Linked DNA regions of Notamacropus eugenii. The protein of the gene in region 3 interacts with the protein of the main gene of each other region in a pairwise test. Links are inferred from orthologs where the notes say so. Each region holds a gene or a part of one and is shown on either strand. Other genes may lie near its edges.

The links.
Region 1: the proteins of MTUS2 (region 3) and CCDC60 interact in binary tests that used the Homo sapiens proteins (3 or more experiments, as listed by UniProt). The two-hybrid records come from large-scale screens. The link is inferred for Notamacropus eugenii from reciprocal best matches to the Homo sapiens genes MTUS2 and CCDC60.
Region 2: the proteins of MTUS2 (region 3) and PPP1R18 interact in binary tests that used the Homo sapiens proteins (3 or more experiments, as listed by UniProt). The two-hybrid records come from large-scale screens. The link is inferred for Notamacropus eugenii from reciprocal best matches to the Homo sapiens genes MTUS2 and PPP1R18.
Region 4: the proteins of MTUS2 (region 3) and TSGA10IP interact in binary tests that used the Homo sapiens proteins (3 or more experiments, as listed by UniProt). The two-hybrid records come from large-scale screens. The link is inferred for Notamacropus eugenii from reciprocal best matches to the Homo sapiens genes MTUS2 and TSGA10IP.

Annotation. Positions count from the first base shown.
Region 1 is NC_092875.1:25,967,524-25,975,270, forward strand, and holds the start of CCDC60 (coiled-coil domain-containing protein 60), read right to left. Parts: upstream 3,233-7,747; 5' UTR 2,591-3,232; coding exon 2,513-2,590; intron 1-2,512.
Region 2 is NC_092873.1:84,556,147-84,564,016, reverse strand, and holds the start of PPP1R18 (phostensin), read left to right. Parts: upstream 1-4,384; 5' UTR 4,385-4,467; coding exon 4,468-4,476; intron 4,477-4,715; exon of another isoform or gene 4,716-4,801; intron 4,802-5,013; exon of another isoform or gene 5,014-5,032; intron 5,033-5,944; coding exon 5,945-7,618; intron 7,619-7,870. Other genes in the region: NRM (nurim), read left to right, coding at 207-403, 1,886-2,062, 2,496-2,777.
Region 3 is NC_092876.1:197,081,471-197,089,261, reverse strand, and holds the start of MTUS2 (microtubule-associated tumor suppressor candidate 2), read right to left. Parts: upstream 3,117-7,791; 5' UTR 3,027-3,116; intron 1-3,026. UniProt on the Homo sapiens protein: Binds microtubules. Together with MAPRE1 may target the microtubule depolymerase KIF2C to the plus-end of microtubules. May regulate the dynamics of microtubules at their growing distal tip.
Region 4 is NC_092873.1:18,636,322-18,644,599, forward strand, and holds the start of TSGA10IP (testis-specific protein 10-interacting protein), read left to right. Parts: upstream 1-5,113; 5' UTR 5,114-5,128; coding exon 5,129-5,296; intron 5,297-5,711; coding exon 5,712-5,839; intron 5,840-5,921; coding exon 5,922-6,377; intron 6,378-6,531; coding exon 6,532-6,698; intron 6,699-7,322; coding exon 7,323-7,452; intron 7,453-8,278.

The DNA.
Region 1 (7,747 bases), on a different chromosome or scaffold from region 3:
TGAACAAAAGTACATGTTAGTACTCGGAAGAGATAGATAAAGGGATATTTGTAACTACAATATACAGGGCCAGTGAGTTTTAAAATCTTTCTGGTTACTTCCACTTTGCAAGTCTGGGAGTATTCAGTTACCTTTAAGTCAACTTTCCTCTAGTGTTATAAAGAGACAAGACAAGGAGCTCTGGCCACTTGGAAGAGCAGTGGCCAGTTGAGGAAGAGTTGCCTTGACTCCTAAATGAGTCAGCAAGAGGGGGAGAATGAAACACAAACATGGCATACATTCACATACGTCTTTCTTTCTCTGTCTCTCTCTCTCTTTGTCTCTCTCACACACATATGCACACACACAGGATAATGATGACATGCCATTAAATTCAAATCCAAATGTTTCTATTCAATCAAAACCAATATTAACCTTTGCAAATGATATATATTAATCTTCAGAAGACCTATATAAAAGAAGTCCCTTGACCTCTGAGGTCCCTTGCTGCTCTAGATTTATGAGCCTATAAGCTTTATATAATCAGGTAATGTGTTTTTATTTCCCTGTTCAGATATCATCAATATCATCCATGCTTCCACTCTTCAAAGATCTCAGATTCCCTCAACATAGATGGTGTTCTACCACCTCCTGCACCCCATTATGCCTTAGGTAACAGTCTTTGATTACAGCTTCACTGGATCACAGAGCTGGAAAGAACTTCAGCACCTGAGTCATCCAATCAGTAGCTGAGCAAAAATTCCCCTTTATGACATATCCTCCGTGAGGTCATCTAGCCTAGGCTTGAAGCCTTGCAGTAATTTCTTAACCTCCAGCCCAATCTATTTTTGGACAGCTCTAATGGTTAAGTTTTCTTTATATTGACCTGCCTCTTTGTAACTTTGTAATTTCTGTCCACTATTCCTACTCATGCCCTCATCTGCAGCCAAACAGAACAAGTTGCATTCAGGCTCAGATGGTCCTTTGTATATTTGAAGATAACTATCAAATCGTCCCTCCTCTGGGCCTTCTTCAACATAACAGTATCATGATAACAATGTGGCACCAATAACTGGTACCCTAAATGTGGTATGACCAGGGCAGAGGACAAAGAGAAGCCACCACCTCACTAGCCCATATACTACTCTCCTTTTAGTGAGGCTTAACACCGTATTAGCTATCATACTGTTGACTCCTAGTTGAATTTGCAGTCCACTAAAATGCCCAGATCTTTTTCACAAGACTTGCCCCTACCTTATGTCTTTGAGATCTATTGTGGCCAAAAATGGAATCACTTTGTGTGGCCAAATTGTTGATGAACCTTGTGGTGTAGTGGAAAGAGTGATAGATTTGCAATAGGAGATTGTGGGTTCTAATTTTGGTTATGACACTATCTGAGTGACCTCAGGCAAGTCATTTAATCTCCTTGGGCCTCAGTTGCTTCATCAGTAAAATCTATGATCCTATTATCCAATAATGAAGGGGTCTGCCTGCCAAATCTCTGCTGATTGGACCTGTCATGAGTATCATCTCCATTTGGGAACCAAGGTCCCCTCCATATTGGAATCAGACTTCAGTGGGGTTTTCTATCATAAGATGAAAGTCTGATGATTTTCTGCCTCTTATTTAAAATACAGTGGAATGAAATACTACACAGGAGTGAAGGGGCAAGTACATCAGTGTCTACAGCCCTGAGAGAGCCACCCCAAATAAAACGTCTGGGTGAACTTCAAGTGGGGCTCTAAATCAGGTCAATCAGCAACAGTTAGCCAATATGCATTTATTAAGCACTTACTATGTGCTAAGACATCTTGCTGAGCAATAGAAAGACAAATACATGCAAAGAGAAGGGAACCATTCCTGAGTAATGAGTCCCTTGTCTAGACCCTACAACACAGTGTTCATCCCTAGCTCAAGACCCTTTCACATCTCTTTTCCACTGCCTATCCCAGCAAATCTGAAGAGATCACAGGGGATTGAAGATGTGAGCTGAAAAGGACTTAGAACTCATTTTTGAGGCTCAGAGAGCTGAGGTCACTTGTCCCAGGTAACAGATAATAAATGGCAGATAGAGGATATGAACCCAAGTCCTCCTCTAAATCCTACACTCTTTATGCAGGCATTAAGGAAAGGGAAAAGATGGTCACTGTTTTTCCAACACAGAGATTACACCCAAGCTGGGTACTCTGGCTACCTCTGTGCAGCGGATCTCTGGAAATAATTTCTGCCATGGCAAACCTACAATTTATCTTAATTTTTCTGATGTTCGACTGTGTCACTGCTGATTCATTCCATCATCTCAGAATTATTGGCTAATATGATGGCCTGGCGCACTGTTCCGGCTGGCGCCTTCATTCTTCAGACGAAACCAACCATTTATATCTATGCGGATGTGTCTCTACAATTTAATTACAACATGACTTTCCTCTTCCCTCCCCTCCCAGTCTTACCCTCCTTGGCTAGTCTATTCAAACAACAATTTATATTACATTTTGTGTCCCCCTTAAAAATATGGTCGAGAGGAGACACCTACCTGAGACAGCTGCCCGGAGCCCTGATAAGGCTTAAGAGCCTCGCTGGGATGAATATCGAAGCTCTTGTTGACGGGCATCTTAATACTTGTTCAGGGTCGAAGCCCTAAGGTCCCCTGGGGCCAGAGGCCAGCCAGTGGCTGGGGGAAAGTCTGGGGGAAGGGGGGGGGGGGAGAAAGGGGGAGGAAGGATAACCCAGTTCCTCTGCTCTCTTTCAGTTCACAGTCTCTGGAACCTCAAACCAGTTGGTAACCAGTGTGAATGGGATGGGAGTATGAGAAATAGGTATAGAGAAATATATATTGTATGTAGATATATACATGTGATATATGTATACATGTAAATGAAGTTGAAGGAAAGTAATTAGAAATGTCTTATAGGAAAATAACAAAGGATTCCTGCTCTGTCTTCTCAAGGGATTTGTGTTTTTCTCTCATTTACAAAGAAAAGTAAAAGAGAAAGTGGGGGAAAGGTTAGAGATAAAAAGGAAAGGAAACGAAAATGGGGGTTGGTAGCTAAATAAAATCTCCCTTGAGCTGAGAGTTTCCCGAGTCCCAACTTGGGTAGACAAGTCAGGCCCGTGGATCACTACCCGTTAGGATGAATTCCCTTCCCGAAACTGGACTTTCGGGACGTCTCTCTCCCCAAACCTTCCTCTTTCCCTCAGGGAACCACGCAGCTTGATTGCAGAGGCCGCGGCTTCAGCCGGAGTGCACCTCGGTTGCTCCCAGCAACAGAGACGCCATCTGGGGCTTTCTCATTGGCCAGTGGGGCGGGGGCGATGCCGGCCACGCAGCAGGGAGGGTGGAGGGGTCCATTAGAGGACGGGGGAGGGCCAGGACGTTCTGCTTGGCTGCAGAGGTCTGTCTGTTCTTTCCGAGGCAACCCAAGGCGGGCATTGTTGCTTGGACCTCCCTGTCCACAGAGAAAGAGCTATTTACAGGATCCTAGACTCAGAGCTGAAAGGGAGCCCAGAGGCCATGAGTCCTATCTCCTCATTTTACAGAGAAAGAAACTGAGGCAAAGTCACCCGGGGAGTGAGAGGATTTGTCTGACCAAGGTTAAAAATACTTTTTAAAACACCCAGTGCAAGCGATCTCATTAAGCCTCTACTTGAATAAAAATAGCTCATTTATATGTATATATATGAGTGTGTGAGTGTGTGTGTGTTCACATGCATACATACATATACACACATATCACTTCAAGGTTTGCGAAGGGCTTTACCTTGCTATCCCACGTGTGGGAGAATCTTGTGACGGAGACAAAAGCTGTTATTATCCCGATTGTCAGCGTCAGGAAATAAGATTCAAAGAAGGTAAGGGACTTTGTTCGGGATCACACACCTGATAAATATGTGAGGCTGGATTTGTAATCAGGACTTCCTGAATTCAAGTTCAGAAGCACCACCTAGCTATACCACAGTGTAGATATCCAGGGATGGGAGGCTCTCCACTTCTGGACAGCTCTGATATTCAGAAGGTTTACCTTCCCTCCGGCTCCAAATTGTCACTCCTTAGGTTTCATCCTTTACTACTGGTTCTGGCCTTCAGGGCCAAGCAGAAAAAACCTAATGTGGGCCCATGTTACTGTCCTAAAATCAAATTCATATCATCATGTAGACAACTGAATTATATTTAACACGCAATCTTGGTGTGGGAGTCCGGAGACCTGATTTAGATACTAAATCACTGAGTGATCTTGGGCAAACCACTTTCCTTCTCTGAGGCCAGGATGTTCATCCACATAATCCTGTTTACCACATAGATTTTTGAGCCTCCTTGTTGTTTCCCCTAGAAGACTCTCCATCTCATGACCAGGTGTTTTCTCTGGCTGTCCCAGAATGCTTGGAACTCTGACCCTCCTTTGTCTCCTGGCTTCTCTGGCTTCCTCCAAGTCCCAACTAAAGACTCAGCTTCTACAGGAACCCTTGCCCCATTTCCTTTAATGTTAGTGTCTTTTCCTCCCAGATTATCTGCAATTTATCATGCCTATGTCTTGTTTGTCTACAATTGTTTCCATGTTGTTTTCCCCATTAGACAGGAAAAAAGCTGGGACTTTTTTGTTTTTCTCTGTATTCCTGGCATGTAGTTGGTGCTTAATAAATGCTTGTTGATTGAGACTGCTATGATAATGTAAAATGCTTAACCATCTAGGCACGTGTGTAGTCTATTATCAATTCTAAGGCGTGAATCGATTATTTAGGCAGCTAGTGGGGCAGTGGATAGAATGCTTGACCAAGAGGCAAGAAGCCCTGAATTCAAATTTGACCTCAAACACTTACTGGTTGTGTGACCCTGGTAAGTCACTTATTCTCTGCTTCAGTTTCCTTATCTGTAAAATGAAAATGAAAAGATACTTTGCTCATATATAGTGCTTATAAAGTGCTATATAAATCTTATATAGTGTTTATAAATATTTTATGTATATATATACATACATATGTGTGTTTCTATATGTACTATTTCAGAGTTCCGTAATACTTATTACTGGGGGGAGGAAGGAGTGAATTTAGACATCATTCTCATTTTACAGAGGAGGAAACTGAGGCACAGGGAAAAGATGTTACTTGCCCAAAGGCATTTATTGATTTAGGGCCAGGGTTAAGATTAGAATTCCAGCCTCTTGACTCCTAGCCTCAGTATTAGGACTCGAAAATCTTAGTTTATTTGTGTAAAGTATGAAGCTTGGGAACTGGAAATACAAACTCCCTCCTCTTCTTTTCCATTTGCTTAAATAAAGCATCAGAAGGAATTAAAAATAAACCTATCAAGTTGAAAAATATTTCTGGAATATGTTGGACACCAGCTGGGATAGCTAAAGAGAGATTTAGAAATCTGGTAAACACAACCAATTCAGTCAATGGTACATATGTTCAGCATTAAAATCCTATCGGAAGGACATTATTTTCACAAGTCCCATAATATGCTTTGCCGTGTGGCATCTTGAACCCAGAGATTTCTGTCTGGAGGATTTTACAGAAATGCCAGTTTGGGCTTTACAAATTACAGGGCCCACGGCAAGGCTCAGACTTGGGGTTCCCTTGATATCAGCTAGTTGGCAATCTCTAGATGAATCCGTGCCAGTAATAAATACCATTGGATAATGGGCATTTTCACTACCTAAAAGGATTAAGAGGTGTAAAAGGATTAACGACTGAATCCTGCTGTGTACACCCTGGAGGTTGTAGGCTCTGAGGACACCAAGTCCCACTCTCCTCCCCCCAGTCTGCCCGAGTGATAATAATGATAATCACAACTTACTGGTGGAGTTACTTCCAAGACTTTCATATCCATTATCTAAAGCTAAAAGCAATAATAATAACAAATAATGTTAGTGAGCATCATTTCTATACCACTTTAAAATTTGCCAAGTGCTTTACAAATTTAATCTCATTTGATCCTAGGTGGAGCAGTGGATAGAGCACTGGACTTGGAATCGGGAAGACTCATATTCATGAGTTCAAATTCAACCTCAGGCACTTCCTAGCTGTGTGACTCTGGGCAAGTCACTTCACTGTTTGCCTCAGTTTCTTCACCTGTAACAAATGGCAAACCACTCCAATATCTTCACCAAGAAAGCCCTAAATGGGGTCATGAAGAGTTGGACATGAGTGAATAACAACAACAAAATCCTAGAAAGTAGATCTCTATTTTACCGACAAGGAAATGTAGGCTGAAAGGGGTAAGTGGCCTTTACAAGCTTATGTAACTAATAAGTAGTTAAAATAGGATTTGAACTCAGAAAGTCCTCAGTGCAGGCCTAGTACTCTACTATTTGCGCTAGGTGCCCATAACTACTAACACATAGTAGACACTTAAAATACTCATTGACTGACTGACAAATTCAGTAAGCACATGTTAAATACCTACATATAATATATATATTTATAAAGTATGCTTATATATGTATACTATTATATATGATAGACACATATATGTAACATGTATACATATGTATATATACAAACACACTCATACATTGATAATCATTTAATATCGTTTTAAGGGTCAGGCTGAACTAATCAATCAGAAGGACTTGGATGGAAGAGCGTCTTTGCTCTCTTAAGCAAACTCAGAGAAATACCTCTTCCTATGTCAATAAAGCCAGATGGGGCTGACTTCAGAGAATTTTCCTCTGTTTATGGACATTAAGAATGAGACCCTTAAGCAGACACTACCTTGAATAATGGAATTTTTTCTTATCTTAATTTTTTTTGGCATATACTATGTTATGGCACATTAATGATAAAGAGAACACAGATATCCTGGGTCATAAGAATTGACACTTTTTTAACTCTTATTTTATTGTATTTACCACCTATTCAATTAAGAAAATTCCTTTCTTATAATATAGTTAAGCATATATGGAGATCAGAAATTTGAGTGACATAGACACCCTGGGCTGGGATTGTTCTAAAATATATTTAAGCTTGGTCATTCTATTATCAGATAGCCAGAAATTATGTTTGAATTCCATGAAGCATGGGTCTGCTAGCTTTAAGGGAATTAACAATATGAATTTATTGTGTATGTTTATATGTATGTATATATATATGTATATCTAGCTAGGTATCTTTATATCTCTCTAAATGTCATCCATTTACCTTTCTACCTATCTATTCATCTAGCTTCCATCTATTTATCTGTCTCTATCTCTCCACCCACCTACCCACCCACCCATCCATCCATCTATCCATCTAATCTGTCTATTGATTTCTCATTTCTGTGAGAATGTAATCCTTGAGAATAGGGAGTGTTTCATCATTTGCATTTTCAGCACCCACTGCTTGGCACAAAGTAAGTGATTCATTTGTTTGTTGATTGGTTAATTGAATGCACCTTGCTAGGCACTGGAGTTAAAAAGATAAAGTGAAATCCATTCCCTGCCCTCAAGTAGATTCTGTTCTGTTATCTCATTTTACACTCATAATGGTCCTGTGGGATAAGGTGAGCAGAGATAATTTACCAAAACAGAACGAATTCCCTTCCCCTCTCTGCTTCCCTCACTATTCCCTATGCCTGGAATGCACTCCTTCCTCTTCTCTGCTTCTGAAATTCCTGGAATCCTTCAAGGTTCTCAGCTCAGTTGTTGTGGTCTCTGTGGAAACTTCTCTTATCAATCCCACATCCCCAAGTAGTAATGTTTTTTCCTCCTCAAATTATTTTGCATTTCATAATCCGCATATATGTTGTCCTCTTTCCCCTCACTCCAAAGTAGAACGTAAATGTCTTGAA
Region 2 (7,870 bases), on a different chromosome or scaffold from region 3:
TTTCTATATATTAGCCCTAAGGGAATTGCTGGAGATGGGAAGTAAAGCCACATCATGGGGAATGGAGAGTAATAGGGGCATGGTCTAGACAGGTTCTCTGAGTGACATCAGGAATTAGGGGACATGGCCTGAGATTCAAAGGAGATATTTAGAATAACGGTGATCTTTCCCTGTCCTTTTGATATCCTGTCTCCCCCCATCCTAAGATTCTCGACAGGAATGGCTGACTGCCCTACAGGACCCTGGCATCTTGGCAGCTCTAGCCCAGGACCTGGGACTGGTGCTGTTATTCATGGGGCAGCACAGTCTTATGGCAACAGAGCCTGTGAAGACATGGATGGCCCAGCGCTTTGGGGTCCTACAGAGGTCACTCTATGTGGCCTGCACTGCCCTGGCCCTGCAGGTATGGGGACTAGACAGCTAGGTCCCCAAGAGAAGTAGGGTCTGGGGAAAGGAAAGCCTGGGGATGAGGGTGCCAGATGCCTGGGTTCCTGAGTAAACTGAGAATTAACAGAGAATGAGCTGGAAGCATTCAAACCTCTGCACATTCTAATCACTAAACTCTCTAACTGCAGCTCCCACTACTTCCCTACTGTAGACTGAGTAGGCCCATTGTTTCCCAAACATACCCCCTTCTTTTTTCCTCCCCATTCCCCCCTGCTTGGAATGCCTACCACCTCCTCTCTTTTCCAAAACCTGCATATGCCTTTAAGGCCTGATCTTCATCTCCTAGTTCCTCAAAGAAGTCTTTACCAATGACCATAGTTTTATTGTTGATCTCCTCCCTCTTTTGAGGTCCTTTTTCTAATATGACATATTGCCATAGACCTTTATCACATATGATATATATATGCCTGATAATTATATGTTGCTTTATTATTTATCTCTAGATACATATTGTAACCAAATTGTAAGCTCCTCTAGGGCAGTGATCATACATCTTATAAATATGCTAAAACATTTATTCTCTCCTGTGTGCTTCCACACTGTGCCAGTGATATTCCTAGAGTACAGGACTAGCCTGCTCAATAAATTTCAGTGGTTCCCTACTACCTCTAGGATCAAATATGAAATTCCCTGTTTAGCATTTAGAGCCCCTGCTCAGTCTGGTTCCAACTTACCTTTCCAACTCTTATTTTACATTGTTGTCCTTCATATGCTTATGTCTGTCTAGCCTGGCCTTCTCTCTCTGTCTTTCTTTTACTCCCAATCCCCCCCACCCCACCCCCCCCCACACACAAAATTCTGCCTCCCATCTCTGGACTTCTGCACAAACTTTCCCCTCCCACCTACCCCCACCCCATGCTTCCTCCCCTATGCCTCCTAGAATCTTTTTTTTCCTTTGAAGCTCAGCTCAAGCACATCTCCTACATGAGACCTTTCCTGAGCCCCTTGTATTTATTTTATATGTACTTCTCACTCCTATAGAATAGGAGTCTCATGGACGAGACTTTCATTGTTGCCTGTGCCTGGCATGTAGTAGGCCCTTAATAAATGCTGTTGATTGATTGCAAGGTCTGAGATCCAGATAGGATTTTAGAGTAGCAGTGAGAGATATCTACCCCCCACTTCTGAGGCTTAAGAAAAATAAATAAAGCATGATCTAATACTTGCTTGTAATTCCGTCACCTAACATGGCATCCTACATATAGTGGACATCAAAAAACATTTGTGTTTGTTAATAAGGGTTTGAAAACCAGTCTTGGAGCACCCTGCATGAATTATTAGAAGTAAAAGCCATCAGGGAGCTAGAGATGTGTGTGTGTGTGTGTGTGTGTGTATTGTGGCATTGTGGGAGGTGAGGGGGGAGCCTCCCCTCAACATATTAAATGATTACATCTCCAAGGGGAGTTGAATCTAGCTATCCCCTATCTGTTTCTTTCAGGTGATAATGCGTTATTGGGAGCCAGTGCCAGAGGGCCCAGTTCTCTGGGAAGCACAGTCAGAGCCCTGGGTGACCTGGGTACCCCTTCTCTGCTTCGTGATGCACATCATAGCGTGGCTTCTCATTTTTAGTATCCTCTTGGTTTTTGACTATCCTGAACTCATGGGCCTCAAACAGGTAATTTCCAGTTCCTGGGCCTCTAACCTTTGGACATCATTCTTTATCTCTTCTAAGACTTGAATCACCTTCAATCTCCCCATCCCTAACCAATCTTCACAAGTTTTTGCTCCACCCTCACCTCGGTCTACCAGTTACCTTTCTTTCCCCCCCACCATGGAGCCATGATCTCATACTCCTCCCCCAGAATCTAGAAATGGTAGCTCCCATGGATTTGTAGGAGAGTCAAGAGCCAAGAGTTAGGCTCAAAGGGGAGACCTTAGTCCCAAGGATTGAAGGAGGATTAGATTTATATCCTTGGAGAAATGGAAGAGGTAACCTTGGAAGATGAGCAGAGACAGCCTTTTATAAGGAATTGAGGGAGTAGAATTAGAGGCAAAGGGATATAATGATTCAATTTCTGATCTAATGTCCTTCCATCCCTCTCCCATAGGTATATTACCATGTGCTGGGGCTGGGGGAGCCATTGGCTCTGAAGTCCCCTAGGGCACTGAGACTCTTTGAGCACTTGAGACATCCTGTGTGTGTGGAGCTCCTGACAGTGCTGTGGGCTGTGCCCCGACTGGGCCTTGACAGAATCCTCTTGGCTGCACTGCTCACCCTCTACCTGGGCCTGGCACATGGGCTAGACCAGCAAGACTTGCGCTACCTCCGTGCCCAGCTTCAAAGAAAGCTTCAGTTACTTGCTGGGCCCCAAGATGTAGATGCTGAGTGAAAGTGAAATCTAGTCCCTAGGATGAAACTATTGTCCCTAGACTCTAAAGCCCTGACTCCCCATTCAAAGTTCTGTTCCCTGAAATCTAAGAGTTATCCTAGAGAATCTGTCTTCTGGATTCCAAGTTCCACTCCAGAATCTGAGGTTTCCACACCTACTCTAACTTGAGAGGCCACCCCTTGAAGCTTGGGGCTGTATGCTTCTAGGTCCTTTGATGCCTCCCCCCCACCCCCAAACTCTGTCTCTCTTGAATTCCCAGCTCTACCTCCTAGACTCCAAGTTTCTCTCCCTGTGAACTTCAGCAGGGTTCTCTAGATATGGTATACAGCTAGCTCCTTGACTTGGAGCCCATACTCAAATTCTAGATTTAGTATCCCTTAATCCAGGATCCCACTCCCCTACCTAAGGACCCCTCAATGCAATCTAGAAAGAGAGATGAGGTACTGAAGGAGGAATGAGGATTTTGGGCTTGTCCCCAACTAGAGACCTCTTTCTGCCTATTTTCCTCTCCAAATCCTAGGGGAAGAGGTTGGCCCTGATCAGTCTACTATCACTGATCCCCAGCCCCATTCTCAGGGACCCCTCCTTTTCCTTTATATCTTCACCTACCCCAGAACAGAATTGTTTTCCAGCCTCCAGACTGAAGTACCTTTCCTTAGTTCTCTATCCCCCATTGTCCAGCCTTTCCCTCAGCGTCCTTGAGGTTCCTTTTAAAATTTCTCCCTCACCACTTAGGCTCTATGTCCTTGAAGCAAATGTTGGGAGGACGGGGAAAGAACCTCTTCACTCCCCACCTCAGTGCCTTCATGTTTCCCAAAGAACATGTAAGAAGCTGGCCAATAAATCCAAATATTATGTCTTCTTTACGTGCCTCTTAAGGTCACAAGTGTTTATCTCTGGTCTGGACAGTTAGCTGGTTCCGGATCCTTAGAGAATGGAAGGGAGAATTGAAACAGGGAGGGGCAGAGTAGAGTGATAGGCCTAAGACCAACTGTCTCAGCAGCTACAAAGTAGGGGGTGGGGATGACGGGTGGAAAGAAAGCAAATGCTTGCAGTAACTACAGCTACTGTTCCCTCCAGTGGCCACTATGCTTCGGCCATTCCTCAAGGTCCTGCCTTCTATCATTTTGAGGATGCCCCAGTCTCCCACCTTCAGGAAGGGGGCATAGTTACTTCTTCCGCTAGCAATCCCGCCTGCCAACACCTGGATGATCTCAGGGTTGAGTAGACCGCTGATTTGAAAGGTGGAAGCCCAGTCCCTAACCAAATCAAAGCCAAGCATGCAGGAGTCTCCACCCATCCCGCCGACTTTGATCTTAGACCCGCTCCACCCCTACCCCCAATCACTTTCAGTCCCCACTCCCAACCCGGCAGTCTTGACCAGCGACCCTACAAAAATAAAGCTCTGGGAGCTAAGAAGGGAGGAGGGCGGGAGATGGGCTGGGCAGGACGGCTCCCAGCAGCTGCTGCTTCCTCCCTGGGCCCCCCTAGGGGCCTGAGTCACGGGCCACCGCCCTGGACCGGGGCTTTGGGAGGGGGAAAGAGGAGGGAGGAAAGATTGGGGGTGGGGGGTGGAGAGTCCCGGGAGAAGTTGAGTGCAAAGGACACCTGGGTCCCGCAGGGCAGAACGGCCGAAGGAGAGTGAGGCAGCTGGAGGTTGAGGATCAGGATACTTGGGTCCCAGAGAGGAATGAGAGCGGTGAGCTTGGGGGTTGCGCGTCTGGGAGTGCTTTCCAGAGAAGAGCCAGCTAGGGGGTCCTGGGGGCGGGAGGCCCCGCCCCTTGAAGCCAGTTCCGCCTCTCGCCCCCTTCTCTCTCCCCATTGTCCTCAGACAAAGCGGTCGCCGCCCCCAGCCCGGCCCCCCTTGGTTTGGGTCTATCTCTCCTCCTCCTTCCCTCCTTCCTCCCTCCCTCCCTCCCATCTCCAACTCTGCCTCGCTCCCTTTCTTTCTCTTCCTTCTCTCCCTCTCCAGACGCTTTCTCGACCTCGAACCCCCTCCCTCCCCCGTGGGACCCTGCCAGTACGTGAGTTGGGAGGGGGGGTTCAGACTCCGAGGATAGATGTCCCCACCCTCATCACCTTCGGCCGCCACCCTTTTCCCCTCCACTCTTTCTTCTGCCTGGGAGATTTTCTTTGTGTAGCGAGTAGGAGTAGAGTGCGAGAGAGGCTAGGGACCGCAACATCTCGCTCCCAGGGTCAGAGTGACAGGGGACTCTGGAGGGCGACGGGGGAGGACACCTAGGTGCCTAACTGAGGTGAAGAGGGCTGGACAGACCAGAGCTGGTTATCTGGGTCCCCGGACTGGGAGGAGGGCTATGGGCGAGGGGGAGGAGTGGACATCTGGGTTCTGAGAAGGGGTTGGGTGCTCGGCCGCCTGGTTTCCAAAAGTCCCCGGGTACTGTCTTTTCCCAGACCCGCCCCAAGAGGCGGGGTGCGTAGGCCCGGTGGGGGGAGGAGGGGGTGGCCCGGGACTGGAGGGGCGTGGCTGGTGAGAGGTTGGAGGGGAAGCTAGAGTCCGCTAGGGCCCACGCTGTGACTGGCAGGTCTGCTGCACAGTTCCCTCCTCCCCTCTCTCCTTATCCCCTTCTTACCCTTTCCCCTATCCCTTTGGTGCACCCTTACCTCTCCCCTTTTCCGTGTCCATCCTCCCTCCCCCCAACACCATGGCTTCGCTTTTTCACCCCCCACGTCAGGAGTTCCCCTAACCTCCACATCTCCCCCTTTAGCCACCCACTTGGTTCCTTCCCCTGGTTCTTCTCCAAACTGTCTTCTCTTCTTTTTTCTCTTCTCTCATCTAAAATATTCTGTCATCCTCCACCATACCCCAATATTCTATCTTGCTTTTTTCTCCCTTTCTCCCTCCCAGCTTTCTTCCCCTCCATTGTATCACTCAGTCTCTTCCCTCCCCCTACTTTTCTTCTGTTCAGTTCCTCAGTATTTCTTCTGATTCTCCCTTTCTTTTCATTCTTTTCTAGCAGTTCTCTTCCCTTTCCTAGTCTTCCTGTCTTTCCCTCTTTCCAGGGGATTCTCTCTTCCTTTCTTCTACTTTGTCTTCCCACACAAACTCTCCGCCACATTTCCTCTCCCTCTGCCCCACCAGTACTTTCATTCTCCAGTTCTCTTACTTCTTTCTTCTCCCTGACGTTGCTCCATCTCCTCCCCTCCAGTTCTCTTGCCCCACTGGGACCATGGCTACTGTCCCAGATTGGAAGTTACAACTACTAGCCAGGCGAAGACAAGAAGAGGCTGCTGTTCGAGGCCGGGAGCAGGCTGAGAAGGATCGACTGGCCCAGATGCCAGCTTGGAAACGGGGACTATTGGAGCGACGCCGTGCCAAGCTAGGAGTGCCAGTGGGGGAACCAGGTCCTGGGAATGAGGCTACAGATGCAGCACCTCCTGAACTCGATGAGCCTGTGGTCCTTCTAGAGGCCATTGGACCTGTCCACCAGAATCGCTTCATCCGCCAAGAACGCCAAGAGCTAAAGCAGCAGCAGCAGCAAGGTGTGGAAGAGCAGCTCACTGATCGGAGGCCACCTGAGGGTCGAGGACACATTTCAGGGAGAGGGGAAGCCCGAGAGCAGAGACCCAGCATGGCAGAGGCTCAGGAACAGAGTCTGGTGGGAAAAGAGTCAAGAGAGCAGAGGCTGAGCCTGGGGGAGTCTGGAGATAGGAAGCTGGGGGTAGCAGAAGTTCCAGAGCAAAGCCTTAGGCCTGCAGAGGCCTTGGAATGGAGATTGAGCCCAAGGGAGACTGAGGAGAGGAGCTCCAGCCTTTCAGAGTCACGGAAATGGAAGAAAAGCCCTGGGGAAGCTCGAAAACGAAATGTGAATCCAGCAGAACCTCAAGAACAGACCTCTGGGGCATCTGAAATGGGAGAATGTAGACTGAGCTCAGGAGACCGTGGAGAGCGTGGAGAACTGAGGCTGGGGATGACAGAGATACACAAATGGAGGATGAATTCCAGAGAAGTCTTGGAACAGAGTCCAGAGCCGTTGGAGGCTCGAGAATGGAGGATCAACCCAGGAGAAGAAAGCAAAGGGAGATCAGGGGAATCGGGGACAGAACAGAGACTAATGCAGAGGAAATCCAGGGAGAACTCAGGACTTTTAGAGACACAAAGATGTAGGTTAAGTCCTGGTGAGTTTCGAGAACGAAGCCCAGGGGTAATGGAGGCAGCAGAAATGAGGTTGAATTCAGGAGAGGATGTAGAGAAGAGTTCTAGACAGTTAGAAGTAAGGAAATGGAGACTGAACTCTGGGAAGGCTCGAGAATGGAGCCCTGGGAGATCGGAGGCTGAAGGGCAGAAGACAGCACCTTCAGACTCTGGAGATCAGAAGTTGCTGTTGCCTACACTGAAGGCCGAAGAAGGGAGGATAGGGGCTGCTGTAGAGGAAGCTGGGGATGGAGGCAGGATGGTGAGCTCCCTTAGAAGCCACTACTCTGTAACCTCCCCCTCACCACCTGAGGAAGTTGGGGCCGGAGGCTCAGGGCTGCAGGAAGAGGAAGCAGCAGAACCTCAGCCCCCACCACCACCTTCAGTATCTCCCCTACCCCCTGCCCCACCAACTCCTCAGCCCCCAGGGGACCCGCTGATGAGTCGCCTGTTCTATGGAGTGAAACCTGGGCCTGGGGTAGGGGCCCCACGCCGCAGTGGACACACCTTCACAGTTAACCCCAGGCGCTCTGGGCCCCCTGCAGCCCCTGCCCCTCCTGAACCCCAGCTCCCTGGCCCTGGAAAGAAGCGGTACCCCACTGCTGAGGAGATACTGGTGCTTGGGGGCTACCTCCGTCTAAGCCGAAGCTGCCTCGCCAAGGGGTCCCCTGAGAGACACCATAAACAGGTAGGGAAGTCTAGCCTGGCCCTTTTTTAGCTCCCATTCACCAACTCTCTCTGGGCCCCTTACTTTGTGTCTTTTTCCCTATGTCCTCTCTCCTTACATTTCACTGTCTCGCCCCACTTCCTCTTTTAACCCCCTTTTCCAGTCATCTTTCCCCAGGGAAAAATGCTCTCTCATGGTCTCGATTAGTCTGTCTCTGTCTCTGGGTGTGTCTCTTTTTCTCTCCCTTCCCTTAGGCACTGAATTCTTCCTGCC
Region 3 (7,791 bases):
GTCTCTCCAAAGCAAAAATTAGGAAAAGAAATCAATTTTTTAAACTTGCTCTTCCTAACGATTTTAATTGACAGACACAAAAGCCCAAATGGCTTTATACATTAGCATTGAAATCTTTAGAAAAGGGCTTACACATATAATGAGACATACTTATGTAATCTTCTAGACCAGTAATTCCCAACATTTTTTTGTTCCATGAACCCCTTTCAACAACAACAAAAATGTTTTGAATCCCCAAGGTAATTTAATATACTACTCATAATATTCTTCACAACTATTTAGTGCTTAAGGAATCATTAAAAAAAATTTGAATGCAAACTCCTTGGATCATTGTTAAGAACCTGGATTCATGAACAACCCAAGGGGAACCATTATTGTAGACATTGTACTTATCTCTCCACTTACAGAAATAGTCCTCTAATTTATTACAGTATTGGGTCTGGTCAACTGACACCAGGCATCCCTGTTTCCCTATTTTTGACTTTAATAATATAGTTTGCTGGCAGTTACAAAATAGCCAAACCTGAGTTTCATAAAATACCTTCAACTCAATCATACCTTTTACCTAAGACTCCACATAAAACATTTGCTGAAACCAGACACAAAATATCTAAATCTAGAAGTGTTAGACAAAAATTATAAGACAAAGAAGTTTTTTGCACCCCACTCAACTGTCTGTGCTATTTTATATCAAAGGCAACAACCAGTTTTATATTTGATAGAGAAAATAATGAAATGCTTAATGACTATTGGTTATGTTATTTTGTAAGCAAATAAAAATAATTACACTGCTGTCTAATCTGTCACTGATGTCTCCAAAAATTAAAAGAGACTATGGCATATTCAAGTTTTAAAAGTCAGATCCTGAATGTTGGAAAGAATTACAAGTTACAAGTATTTCACTGAAATAAAGATCTAGTATATTTCCAAAAAGACTACATAAAAAGTATATGTAACAATTCTTCAGTTGTCCTTTGCAAAACTTTATTTTATCCATCTTTAATTACTATTGGAAAAGCACAGTAGCTCCTGAGTCAAGAAGGCCTGAGTTCAAGTTCTTACATCTCTAATGCAAACTATCTGTATCAAAATCACTTAACCTTTCAGTGACATGCAGGTAACTAAGTTTATACGTCACAGAGTAAGTGTTCAGCTGCATTAATAAGCAGTTTCCACGCAGGGAGTTCCCTATACCAACGAACTCACATTTCTGGGACCCCCGAAAAAATGGTATCTTTCCTTTCCATTTTATTTTTTATATTCTTCTTTGCTTCTGTAACCAAAGTGAAATCTGTCACACAAAGTAAAAGAAAAAATTTGATCCACACAAACCCACAATTAGTAATAATACAAACTGTTGTGCATCTTATCTGTTGTCTTTTGCCAAGTATCACCTGTTGAATATTTGTTCTCCTGATGATTGCAAGTCAGTCAACAATCCCTGCATAGAACTGGTCACGGTGATGCCTGATGAGATACACTCAGAGCAGGATTGTACAAGTGTGTGGTTTGTAGGGTTTGTATTTCACTGTCTAGCCAGCAAAATACCTAATCTGATTAATCATTAAAAGTGATGAAAAGGAACCAGAAAGTCCTTCTTTTATCTGAATCCACTTTTAGTTGAGTTACTTTAACTAGCAAGGAATATTACTAAATTTCCAAAAATAGCCTCTAAAAAATGTTATCAAAAATTTTTGAAAACCTTGTAAGTTCTGAATTCTGTTTCTACCACTATCATGGTAACAGTCAAATAATTTTTACCCGACTTTGCGACTTATTGAACAATATCTGTTTCATTTAATTCTCCTAAATGCTTTGCACTGTTATCTGCTTTATGCCTCAAGTATTCTTCCCACGGTTGAAATGCTGTCTAAAACTATCCTATACCATCTTAAGAGAGGACCTCAAGCTAGACGTGATCACCCCTTCTGGCACGCTTTTGTTTTGAGGAAGAAATGTTCTTAGCTCTTCTCTCAGCTTCCCCCTAGAGGCCTCGGTGATCACTTTACATTCTAACCAATGAGCAGGTATTTTTAAATGTACTTGCATAACAGTGAGTATGGGTTTCTTCTGGTATCCTGCCAGACACACTTATTCCCCGTTTGTATTTAAAATAGAACGGTAGTACCATCACTCTCATGTGCCAGAAATCCCTTCTGTGCATATCCTCCAAGCTAAATCGTATGTATGTATGAAAAATAAAATAGGTCTCATTATAAAGTTCAAAGGACTTAGCATGACCATGCTAAATTAAGAGTACGGCGGCAGACTGTAGCATCCCAGGCCGGGAGGACACTCCAGTCTTGGAACTAACCTATCCCACCCTTAGGAAATCCTTGTGTTACCCAAACAGTCAGCACGTGTGTGCCCCATATAGCCATATATGCTTCGCAATCGCCGACACCATTCAAGAGGGAATCAAAAAGCTCCTGCATCTCAGTTATCTGCATGCGGGGTGCACAGGGCAATTCTTCTTGCAAAGGGGAAGGGAGGAGGTGCCTTATTTCGGGGTGGGGGGAATGGGAAATGCCTACTATGGTCTAAACTGTTCCCTCCCACACCCATGAACGTGGGAGCCAGGGCCAAAAATAAAGACACAGCCCAGAAGATCCCCATCGGTTACCCTAGTCTTAGCAATTCCAGAAGGAAGCGAGGAAGATGTCCAAAACTAAGCGCACGACGACACTTAATTAGGCTGTAGCCAAAAGCTAGGACCCGGACCCCCATCTCCAAGTGTTTTCCAGTAGTTGGGGGCTGGAAGGAGGCGCGGGGTCTTGCTGAGGGTCCGAAGTTTCGGAGGGGGAAAAGGTCATTGCGGGTGCCCAGGCAGAAAGAACTTGCCAAGCGGTCCAGGAAAGGAGGGGCGAGCCGGGAGAGGGAAAGGAATGGAGCCACACCTGGGCTGCACTTCCAACAACTGTCACCACCAAACACCTCCCACGCATCCCACACGCAGATGCCGAGCGGAGGCAGCAGCAATCTCGCAGCCGCCCTAGCGTCAGCCCGACTCCCCACCTAGGACTCACCTGTCCGCGGGTACCCCCCGAGGAAGCTGCGGCCGCTCGACACGGGTCTCCAGGCGCGCGGCGCAGAGCCCGGGAGAAGGGGCGCAGAGCGGTGGAGGGTTCCGAGGATGCACCTGGTGCCGCAGCAGCAGCAGCAGCAGCAACTCCCCCTCCTTTCTTCCCTCCCTCCTTCCTTTCCCCGGACAAAGAGAAGCAGCGGTAGAGGTGGAGGCGGCGGCTGTGAAGCCGGCGCCTGGAAACGTGCGGCGGAGCCGGTGTCTCTCGCTCCAGATTTACTGCCCTCCCTTACAGCTTGGGGAGCGGGCGGGAGGGAGCGGGAGGCGTGCACACCCCCACAACGCGGCAGCAAGCACGGAAAGCAGAGGGCGCCTCCAGCCACCCAGCGGTGCCCAGGGCTTGCTGTCGGCTGCAGCCGCAAGCCTGGAGATGAGCGAACAGCGCCCTCTGCAGCCCCCAAACCCCCGGCGATGGAAGCGTCGGGAACAGCGGCCCCCCAGGTACTTTGTGTTTTTTAACCCAGGCACCTAAAAGCATGGGCGTTTTCATTCGCACCTCTTAAGCGCTTGGGGATCCTGGCCTGGCCCTCTGAACTGCAGAATATTTGTGTCCCGACAAAGGAGAAAATAATAGAGGCTCTCCTAGTCAGGCTGTGTATGCAAGTGTATCACTATCTAGGATGTCAATATCAACTGTAATTAACATTTAGGATAGAAGAGGCGGTAAGTTTAAATGCTAACCAGAAGAATTTAGATTTGGCACTAGGAAGAACTTTAGACTAAGGTTTATGAGAGGCAGGAACGTTCAGTGAAAGGATGACTTGTAGTATTATTAAATATTGTTAATAATACTGTGTTTTATTCTGCGTTCCTCCTTCGTTTTCGAAGAAGACCATGACATCAGAGAAATAACGACGTGACTTGCACTTGACTTTGTTTTGAGTGAGGGAGGGCTGTGCATACTTTATGCCTCTAGGAAAATATAGGAAGAATTATGTGTATATTCTTTTCTTAAGCAGCTAAAGATGCTTACACCTCATCTGGAATACTGTGCTTAGTTCCAGGCATTACATTCTAAGCATCTGCTTAGGAAAAGAGTACACAGGTTTTCCTACTATGAGACATAAGTCCCTCTGCAATAATCCAAAGGGTCATAGCAACATAGATTTAGGGATGGAAAGGATCTTAAAAGTCCAACCCTCTCATTTTGCACATGAGGAAACTGAGGCCCAAGAGGAGAAGTGAACCACCCAAGGTTATAGCAGTGATAAGGAGCTCACCCAGATTTTTAGTTGATTCAAAATCCAGTATTCTTTTCACTCCACTACCATCATCTCAACCTTCTCCTTTTAGCTGGCAGGGCTAGGAACACAATATGGCCACACTACTCAGTTTCTATTTTTGAACCGTTCTATAAAGTCATTTCTAATATTAAGCCAAAAACCTGACTCCCTATAATATCCAGATTCTGTTCTCTGGATCCAAGCAGAATCTCCTTTTACCTAAGCTTTAAATATTTGAAAATAGTCACCATGTCACCTCTGAAATCTAAATGGTCCCCAGTTCTTCCAGGACATATTTTCAAATCTCTTCCCCATTTTAGTTGCCTTCCTCTGAATCCAATTCATTTTGTCAATGTTCCCCTTAGAATATTATACTTAGAACTGTATTCCAGATAAATTCTAACAAGGGACAAGACCACTGAGCTGACAGCTCCAACTTTCTGCACAATAGAATTCTATTATTACCTTTCACACCTTTTGCTTGACACAGTACCCCTATTTACTCATCGACCTGACTAAACCCCTCCATGTAAAACAATTTTAACAATCATTTTTTAAAACTTTGAGTTCCAATTCTTTTCTTCCCCCCACCCTGTTCCCTCCTTCTTTCTTGAGAAGGCAATTTGTCATGGATAATACATGTGAAGTCATGTAAAACATATTTCCATTAGTCATGTTACAAAAGAAAAGACAAAAATAAAACAAGAAAAATAACGTGAAAAGGGGTATGCTTTGATCTATATTCAGAGTTCATCATTTTTCTCTCTGGATGTGGACAGCACTTTTCCTCACAGGCCCCTTGAAATTGTCTTAATCAGAGTTGTGAAGTCTTTCTGATACTATGCACAATGTTCTCCTGGTTCTGCTCACTTCACTTTGCATGAATTCATTCATGTAAGTCTTCCCAGACCTGGTAACTGTATTGTTGAGTCAGAGATTACACAGTTTTATAACTCTTTGAACATAGTTCCTGTTGCTCTCCAGAATGATTGATTAGATTAGTTTGCAACTCTACCAACAGTGCATTAGTGTCCCAGTATTTCCACTTCCCCTCCAGCATTTGTCATGTACCTTTTATTTCATATTAACCAATCCAATAGGTATGAGGTAGTTCTTCAGAGTGGTCTGAACTTTTATTTTTTTAATCAGTAGGGATTTAGAGCATTTTTTTCTTCTGAAAACTGCTTGTTCACATTCTTTGACCATTTATCAACTGGGGAATGGTTCTTATTTTGTTGAATTTGATTCAGTTCTAGTTCTCTATATATTTGAGAAATGAGGCCTTTATTTAAAAAAATGCTGTAAATTTTCCCTCAATTTCCTGTTTTCCTTCTAAATTTGGCTGCATTAGTTTTACTTTGTGCAAAAGCTTTTAATTTCATGTAATCAAAATTATTTATTTTACTTCCCGTGATCCTTTCTATCTCTTGTTTGGTCATAAACTCTCCCTTTATCCATAGATCTAACAGGTACATATTTCCATGCTTCCCTAATTTACCTTATATCACCTTTATGTCTAAATCATTTATTCACTTTGGTTTTGTTTATGTATATAGTATTAATGTTGGTCTGTGCCTAGTTTCGGCCAAACTGCATTCCAGTTTTCCCAACAATTTTTGTCAAATAGCGAGTTCTTGTCCCCAAATCTTGGATCTTTGGGTTTATCAAACAATAGATTATTATGGTTATTTACTTCTCTGTATTTGTACCTAATCTATTCCTCCTATCCACCACTCTGTTTCTTAGCTAGTATCAGATTATTTTGATGATTACTGCTTTGTAATATAGTATGAAATATGGAACTGCTAGGCTGACTTCCTTTACATTTTTTTCATTAATATGATATTCTTGATCTTTTGTTTTTCCAGATGAATTTTTATTCATTCATTATTTTTCTAGCTCTATAAAATGATTCTTTGGTAGTTTGATTGGTGTGACACTGCATAAGTAAATTAATTTAGATAGAATTATCATTTTTATTCTGTTGGCTCAGTCTACCCATGAGCAGCTGATATTTCTCCAATTGTTTAGATCCGTCTTTATTTGTATAAAAATATTTTATAATTGTGTTCATATAATCCCTTCATTTCTCTTGGCATGTAGACTACCGAGTATGTTATATTGTCCGAAGTTATGTTAAATGGAATTTCTCTTTCTGTGTCTTGCTGCTGGACTTTATTGGTAGTGTATAGAAACAGTGATGATTTATGTGAGTTTATTTTATAGCCTTTAACCTTGCTGAAGTTGCTAATAGTTTCGACTAATTTTAGTTGATTTTCTAGGATTCTCTAAACATACCATCTGCATAATGATACCATATGATATGATGCCATAATGATATGATACCATATCATCTGCAAAGAGTGATAGTTTTGTTCCTTCATTGCTTAGTTTTATTCCTTCAATTTCTTCTTCTTATCTTAGTGTTTCTAGTACATATTGAATAATAGCAGTGACAATGGACATCTTTGCTTCACCCCTGATTTTATCGTGAAGTCTTCAAGTTTATCCCCATTACTGATAATGCTTACTCTTGGTTTTAGATAAATACTACTTATTTTAAGAAAAGGTTCATTTATCCCTATGCTTTCTATTGCTTTTAATAGGAATGGGTGGACCCTCAGCTCTTTTTTAAATGATCTGCTGTCAGGCCAAAAGTATTCATTCCTATGCTTGTGGAATTAGTGTTTTTGAAACCAAGTATAATTCTTTACATTTATTCCCAATAAATTTCATCCTAATGGATTTATTCACTCATTTCTATCTACCAAGATTTTTTTAGGATTCTGATTTTGTCATAGAGTATATTACCTGACCTTTCTCAACTTGGAAATAAGGGATTCAATTCATTTAAATATTAATTAAGTGGAACTTTGTGCCCAGCATCTTGATGGGCACTAAATTGTTTTGCCTGCACAACTCCATGGTACTCTCACTTGATAGTGCTTTTACTTCCAGCCATATTCCATAACTAGAAAGCTCCTAATTTCTCTGGAAAGAATGAACCTGGGTCTGGAGAAAAACAGATGAACTGACAAGACCTAATGATGAATTATCACAATCTCTAGTTTAATAAAGTTTATATTGAAAGTAGAATGGAAGGTGGAATTTTTCTACATAAATTAAGAAAATGAAATGATTATGTTTAGTCCCCGAGCACTAAATTAAAAAAACAGGTGTTTCCTGTTTCAAATGAAGCAGCTCTTTAGAATTTCATTTTTTTAATTATGGCAAAGAGTATAATATGTTTTGAAAATAAGGCAATATTTTTACTTGCCATTCCAGAGAGACCACAGGGGAAATGTTGAGAATGCCCTGTGGCTTTTACTTTGATAGCTCCTTCCCCCATTTATAATTATTCTTAAATCTCCACTATCTTAATTAAAAAAAAAAACTTTACTCTCCTGCACCCTGAAGCTACCAAGCCATGTCTCTTCCCTCTGATTATCAACTTTCTGGATAAAATAGCCCATACTTGCTGCCTCC
Region 4 (8,278 bases), on a different chromosome or scaffold from region 3:
GGTACAAAGGCTTCTCTGGACACACACACCCCTGCCCCCAGAGAGGTCAAAACCAGAGGTATGTGATGGCGCACAGTGAGAGGACAAAGGTGAGAGCATTGCCCATTGTCCAGGCCAGCCCCTTCCTCATGTTACAGATAGAGAAACAGTTCCAGGTCACATATCACCTGAATTTGAACCTGGGTCCTCTGGCCTCAGCTCTTTTACTCTTTCCCATGCAGAGCTAAAGCCCGATTGAAGATGGCGAGGGGAAATGGGAGGGCAGTTTTGAACATAATTGTTAGGGTTGATGGGTAGATCTAGACCCTGACAGAAGACCCTGTCTTCCCCTGCTCTTTCCCTTGTTCCCCCTCCCCAACCTGTCTGCCCAGGGACCCAGCTTGGGGTGAAGGGAGGAAAACAGGAGCTTCATCTTTAAGTGACTGCTCTGGGCCAAGCCCTGAGGACACACACAGTAAGGGAAGAGGGATTTTAATAACTTTTAGTGCCCACCCTGGGGAGGGGTGGGCTTTATGGTATGCAGATGGGGAGCGGGAGGGGCCACCCTACAACACCCACCCCACTGCCCTTTGTTTCTATAGGCCTTTCTATTTCAAGATACTTAAACAAGACCTGAAAATACCCCTATCCCCACAGGTCGGTAAAGCCCAGGAGTGGAGCTGGCTGGGTTCTGGGCCTTCACCTGCACTGACTCTGTTAGTGCCCTAGAGAACATCTAGGCCACCCCCTCTTATTACAGATGAGGAAACTGAGGCCAGAGATGTGAAATGTCAAGGCAAATGTCCCATGTAGCCACACTGGTCGTAGCTGCTCTCTGCAGACAGCCTTCAGAGGTTTGCAAAGCATTGTAAATGTCCTAATATTTCTCCCTCTACCACCATAAGGCAGCAACTGTTCTCATCCCAGTGACTGGTCAAGAGAAGGGTAGGTCATGGAGATGGGCAGCATCTTAGTCAGATTAGGTCCCAACAACTCCATTTCCCACTTTCCGTCCATTTGTCTTGACCCCTAAGTAGAAGGTGGCTGTAACCCAAAGCTCTCTGGGGCTCCCCTTCTTCCAGCCTCCTCCCAGAGGGCAGTCCCTTAAAGGTCCTCCCAAAGTGAGTTATGGACATGGTCCTGTCTGCTGAAATTCACATGTTAATAGTAACCAGGGGAGTGAGGCAGGAATCACTGGGCACGTCATCCTAGATATAGTTTAATCACCCCCCCCACACACACACACACTTTCTGCATAGAGCCCCTTTGCGCTCAGTGTGGCAGAATCTCCAAGTTAGGCTTTCCAAATGATCTAAATACCACATGCTATTGAGATGCTTCAGCATCTTGGCCGCCCACCCCCTGCCCCACTTATACCCCTCTACCACCACCCCATCTCCCGGACTCTGTGCACTTCAGCATGGTCATAAGATTTGATGCCTAGAATGTAACCCAAAGAGTATCCTAAGGCTCTGCGACAAGGAGTCTTAGAGGCCACTTATTTGATGCCATCATGTGATCAGACTCCAGGTGGGTTCATGCCTCTTAACAAGACCTAAGACTGCTTTGCCATTCTTGGCTATTCTCACGTTATTGGGTCATTTGGAGCTTAATGTCCACTAAGAACCCCAGATCATTTTCATAGGTTCCCAAGAGCTTTCTGGGCTCACAATGTCCTGAGGTTCTTCTGCCTAGACAAGGTGAGACTTGAGCTAGGTCTCAGTACCAGCAGTACTGGGCTTGATGAGAAGAAAAGGGAGGAGAAAGTGAGGCAGAGTGGAGGGAAGTGGAAGCAAGCAGAGCCTACAGAGATCAGGCATGTTTACAGGCTGGGCCTTCTGGCTTCTAGAAGTTTCATCCCATCGACTCCAGGAGTCAAGAGAGGCTCCAGCTTTGTAGGAGCTGAAGGTGTGCGGGGAACAGTCTCCCTGGGCATCCCAAGAGTTGACTCTGGCTCATTGCCCAAAGGAAGCAGAAGCAGTAGGTGATCCCAGCACCCTGGGACACTAGGCATTTGGAATCCCTCTCTCCCCATGGAAAGAGGAAAAACATGGAGGAGGTGGGGTAGATGGTCCAGCACTCAGGGTCCTGAGCAAACTCAGATGATCACAGGAAGCCAGGACTTGAAGAGGCCACCAGTCTGCCCTCCTTTTACAGAGCTGGTGACTCTGAGACTCAGGAGAAAGGACTCACCTGGGGTCCTACCTCCAGCTCCACCCTAGGCCAACCCACTCCAAGGCCATCAGGCGAGGCAATGCTGTGGGCAGATACAGATTTGTTTTTTAAAAAATAAGTTTTTATTGATGTCAATTTTTGGAATCAGCATAATTTCTCCAGGGGACACAGTGGATAGAGCACTGGGTTTAGAGTCAGGAAGACTCATCTCAATGAGTTCAGATCTGGCCTCAGACACTCACTAGCAGTGTGGTCCTGGGCAAGTCACTTCACCCTGTTTGCCTCAGTTTTCCTCCTCGGTAAGATGAGCTGGAGAAGGAAATGGCAAACCACTTCAGTGTCTTTGCCAAGAAAACCCTAAATGGGGTCACTGAGAACTGGACACACCTGATACGCCTGAACAATTTCTTCCAGTATCCCTTCTCCTGGCCCCACCCAGAGAACCATTCCATGTAACACTATTTTATAAAGACAAAAAAAAGGGGGGGAGGGAATCAGCCTAACTGAGTAATACGTGCAATAAGGTTGACACATGTCGCAGCATCGCCTCTGCAGAGGGGGAGGGGAGGGGAGGGGGCTTCCTGGGCCTCGGCTTGACAACATTCACTTGATTTTGGTGTGCAGTTCTCTCCATTTCTGTTGTAATTGCTGCGTATGCTGTTTTCTTAGCTCTGCCAGCTCGCCTCTGCGTCAGTTCATATAGATGTCCATCTTCCCATGTTTCTCATTTAACATTCCATTCCATGGATGCACCGCACTGTGTTTAGTCATTCCCCATCAGTGGGTACCCACTTTGTTTACAATTCTTTGCTATCACAAAAAGTGCTGCTAGGAATATTTTGGTATATTTGGGGACTTTCTTCTTATCAATGGCCTCCTTGAGGGGGGTCTCATCAATTGACTCTGAGTAAATCAGCCAAACTGATTTAGCTACTGGGAAACTCCAGTAGGAAAGGCACTCACATAACCTTAAGGGGGAATCTGGGAAGGCTTCAAGGAGGAGGTGACCTTTGAACTGCCTGCACAGGGCAGGGTAGGGAGGACATTCCAGGCATGGGGTGCTGATCCTCAGTCTCCTCTGGAAAAGCACCTTGGAAACTGGGTAACGAAGATAGTCATATCCCAATTTTATAGATGAAGAAGCAGGCGCAGAGTTCATTATATGATAGGATCATAGGTAGAGGGAAGGGACCGTAAAACCTCGTACTGCATATGTGGAAACTGAGGCAGAGCGAGTCATACAGATCCAACTTCAAGTCTAGCTTGCTGGGCCCTGCACTGCACTGTCTCTTGATGAGAGGCCACAAGGGGACACCACAGTGCACTGGGCCCTGTGAAGAAAGGGAAGGATTTCATAAAGTCAAGTTCACCTGCATTAATTAAGCCCATTGTGTACTAAGCCCTGAGCTAAACACAGGATGATACAAAGAGAGAGTTTTTAAAGAACCCCAGCCCCTGCCCTCGGGGAGCTACCACTCTAAGGGTGGAGACCATGTGAATAAACAAGCTACATACAGGCTATATTAGAGACCACCCCAGAGGGAAGGTCCAAGATTAAAGACCATGGAGAGATGTTTCCTGGAGAAGGAAGCCAGAGGGTGGAGATAAGGAGAGTGTCTGTGGCATGGGGGACAATGCCTGGAGTCGGGAGATGGAGAGGCTTGTTCAAGGAACAGCAGGTGAATGGAGACATCAGAAAGGAGGAGTGGCCAGTGCCTGTGACCAGTCAGGAGGGAACATCGAGGAGTCCAGCTTGGTCGGAGTATCGAGTCTGTGACCAGGACTTATAGGCTTACAAAGTCAGAGCTGAAAGTGACCTCAGAGGTCAACTCATTCAGCCCCTCCTATGAGAGGCAGTGACTGAGCTGGGTCTTGTGGATGTCGGTTCACTCTAATTTCCTAACCCTCATTTCTGTCCCAAAGCATCATGGGCAGCCTTAAGAAAAAGGTAGTGACCTCCCCATCACTGGAAGTCTCTGAGCAAAATTTGTATGCCTCAAGGAATGCGGTGCTGGACTGGGTGCCTCTGAGAATCGTTTGGAAACTTGCAAATAGGATTTTCAAGGGCAAACGGGAGGAATCCAGGCCGGTGCATACCAAGCCATTTCCCCTCATGTGGGGTGGGAGCCTCCAATTTCCCAGACAGAACCTTGGACTCCCAGAGCTAGTTGTGGGGAGAGCATCTCCTCTGACCCCATCAAACCTTTTGTACACTCAAACTTGCTCATCCTCCTCTTGGGCCCCTTTGAAGTCCCCCCCACCCCCAGCTCCATAGAGAGTTACCAGCCAGGCAGAGACCAGGACTCACACCTCTAGCTGCTGTAACCATGGGGGGGACAGCTCAGAGAGCAGGGACAGACCAGACAGACCAGGGTCCCAGGCTAGGCAGAAGTATAACCCAAACAAAAAGATCCCTATTTCAGGGAGAGGGTGTGGGAGCTAGAGGGGACCTTAAGTGATCATCTTGTCTGATTCCCTTATTATACAGGTGGGGAAACTGAGATCCAGAGAGAGGAAGGCCCTGACCCTAGACTGCAAGGGTTCTTTAGCCACCACTTAGACACAGGACGGTGCCATGGGAAACCCTGGGAGTCAGAGGAGCTGGGCTCAAATACTGGCTCCTCCGCTTACTGCTCATGACCTCCTCTGAGTCTGAGTTTCCTCCTTTGGCTGTCAATCTCCTGAGCTGAGGGTGTGCCTACTATGTAAGACCCCATTCAAGGAGATAGAGAGCAGGTTCCGGTCAGATGCTGCCCTCACAAAAGTTACAGTACAGGCTACTACAAATGGCCAGACACACAGCAAGACATTATGACATGATCAGGGAGGACAGTTGCCCCGAGGTGCTTTCAGGGGCCAGAGTGCTCTCAGAAGCCAGGGTCTCACAGGCCAGGTAACCATGCCTCCCCAGAGGCCTGTTGGTCTCCATAGTGATGATCCAGGACCAGGCTTGTAGAAGTTCTGAAATAGGGGGATGGGGCAGAAGAATACTTTGCTAAGAACCCATCAACAGTCAATTCTGGCTGCCTCTGTGGTGAAACCTAACCAGGATGCCCGAGTCCGGGTCCCTTCAGCCTCATCTGAAAAGGGAACAGCCACTGGACTGCTGGGACTCCTTTCTGGGGTGCCTTTGGCCCACCAAGTATGTGGCTTCTAACTGCCAAGACCCTAGAGCTTGGAGACAGGATGCCTGGTCCACGGAGGCGCAGGGGGAGGAGTGGCAGAGGGTCCCCTAAGGGTTAAGGGCTCTTTAAGGCAGGGAGGATCTGTGACAGTCTCTTCTTCTGAGAAAATCCAGGGATCTCTAGGTCCTGTGGCTTCCCATGTGTATGATGAGGTAATTCACATGGGCAGAATGAGTCAGAAGGCCCAGGATGTCATTGTCTCCCAGACCTAAGATTCTGCTTGACTGTAAGAAGGCTCTTCCCCTTTCTGGACATCAGCCGCTGACGGGACTCGTCTCTCCTCGCCTGTGGGATGCAGGGCACATGCTGTTCTGGTCTGTGCTGGGCAGGGATGCTGGCTATTCACTGGGGCTCCGTCATTCCCCCCTCTAGAGTGCTTTTGGGAGTGGAGATGGGGTGCTGATCCAAGGCCGACCTCGGGCCCGGAGTGCTGGGAATACCAGAAAGAAAGACGCATCTAACAAAGGCAAGAAGAGGAATGAGCCCTCTGAGGCTGAAGAGTGAGTAACTGGGGGTGCAGGGAGGTGACCCGGGGCTCTGGGAGGCTGACATTCTGACTGGCGCTTCTCTCCCCATCCCCAGCCTCATCCCACCACCTCCTCGGAAGCCCTCCTTCCCGTTCCAGTGGGCCTGGGAGAGCTTCTTGGTGGATGGCCGGAGCCTGCCCCTGCCTTCCTCCAATTCTTCCCACCAGACCCAACAACCTCAGGGGGCCCCCCAGAAGGCCCAGAGGGCCAAGACCTCAGCCTTGCCCCCTGCCAGGGCTCCCCAGAAATCCCGGTTGAAGGCCATGCCCCCATCTGCCCAGCCGGCCAACTTCCCACTCTACTGGAAGATGGAGGCCCGAAGTCAGGACATGAAGAGGCAGTTGAAAACCTGGCTTCACTCTGAGCTGGACAGCCAAGAGAGCCAGGACAGCCAGGATTATCAGGATGGCCAGGAGCTGGAAGGGCAAGAACAGGATGGCAGGGAGGAGGAGTGGCCTGAGGGCAGGAGGGAACTCACCACCTGGCCCTCTTTTCTGTCTTCCAAGGAAAGGTTGGGGTTCCAAGCAAAATGGGCCCAAAGGCTAAGGATGGTGGGGGGAGCCCAGGGTGAGGGGAGGTAACTACAGCTGGGTGGGGGCAGCAGAGGGAGAGGAGAGAGTGGACAGGGCCTTCAAGAAGTTCATCTGTTCCCTGCCTGTGCCCAGGAGCAGAGAAGATGAGAGAGGCCAGCTGAGGAAGTGGAAAGCCCTCCATCTGGCTGGTTTCGCCCTCCTCAGAGGATTCCAGAGGAAGTCGGCAAAGTCCAAGGACCCAGAGAAGCTCTTAGATATGGAAATTCTGCAGAAACACTTACAGGAAGATGAACTCTACAGTAAGTCATGCCCCCTGCCAATGACTCCCAAGCCCTCTCTGGCCTTCAGCTCACTTGTCAAAGGAGGAGTTTGGGGTTCTTCTGTTTGTACTGTGTCAGTGGATAGAATGAGCAGCCCATTAGCCAGAATAAACATTAAAATCAGAATTTGCCAGGCAGCACCCCCCACTTCACTTTATACTAGGGGGTCCCTCCCCAGCCTGGCCTTCCCACTCCCAGAAGTAGCCTCCTGGTTTCCCACAGTCTCTGGCCAGTGTCCTGAGTTAGAGGCTCTCCTCTTCACCACTTATTGGGATTGGTCTCAAAAAGTTGAACTGAGAACCTTTCGTGCTGCTTGCTTTGAGAGCTATGACTTCGAGTTATGGCCCTGACACCCAGGATCTCTGACTCCAAACCCAGGGATATCCCCTACCAGGCTGCACCACCTGCTTAAGAAAGCAGAGATATATGGGCAACATTGTGGGATTATGTCCATTCCAAAGGTTATTGTGCTTAAGAGGCCAGCCTCAGTTACCTGCATACCTCCCTTACTTAGAACCTCCTGGCCCCTCTGCACTGGGGTAAGGCATTGGGGGAGGATGGGGAGTGAGGAGGGGTTCCTGACTTCTCTTCCTCTGTTGTCAGACTCCCAGTGGCCAATTCAGGATACCACCCATCCTCAAGGCGAGAAGGTACAGGCCTGGGAGGATGTCAAGCCCTTCCTGACAACTGGTGGCACCACCAGAACCTTCCAGATGCGACGAGAGGCCACCAGGTACCTGTCCCCCACCCCCATCCCCTACCCTGGGCTGGGGGTGCCTTCCCCTAGATCATTCCTTCACTGGCTGTCTAGACTTTTCACTGGTTGGTCCATCAACAGGTTCAGGTTATACACAGAGGTATAATACGCCCACAGTGGCGGTTCCTACATCACTGAATCACAGACTCACTTTCTACCACCTGTCATCTATAATACATAGGTACACATGCATACACACACACACACACACACACACACACATGCAGAGTGAAAAGACAATAGTGTAGACAGAGATGGAAGAGACCTTCTACCCTCTCATCTCATAATTAAGGAAATTGAACCCTAGAGACCTAGAGTAACTTGTCCAAGGTCACCTAGCCAGGTCCTAAACCCTAAAAATCCCAAGCCCTTCTGGGGCGGAGGTTGGGCCCATTAGCAGTCCCTTGATGGACATCCAAAAGCTGCACCAGGGTCATGATGCTGTGGCTAGAGGCCTCAGAATTCTGAAGGAATTCACTTGGTGGGCTCTGCAACCAAAGCAAAGCTCACATGATGAGCTAGAACTGCTGGGCTGGGGGACCCCCTGCACCTGAGGAAAGCAGACAGCAGGGCAGAAGGAAACGAAGACTGTCCTGAGCCCAGTCCAGTTCCCATCTCAGACCCTTAGTGGCTCACAATAGGTTTGGTCCTTGTGCCCCAGTGCTGAGCAGCCCCACTGGACTTCATTAGAACATGGTGATGGTGGAAGCCTGTTTCCCCATCTGTAAAATGGACACAGTAATATCTGCCTTAGACGGTTGGGGGGAGGCTCAGCCTGGATCACACGCGGGCCAAAGCACTG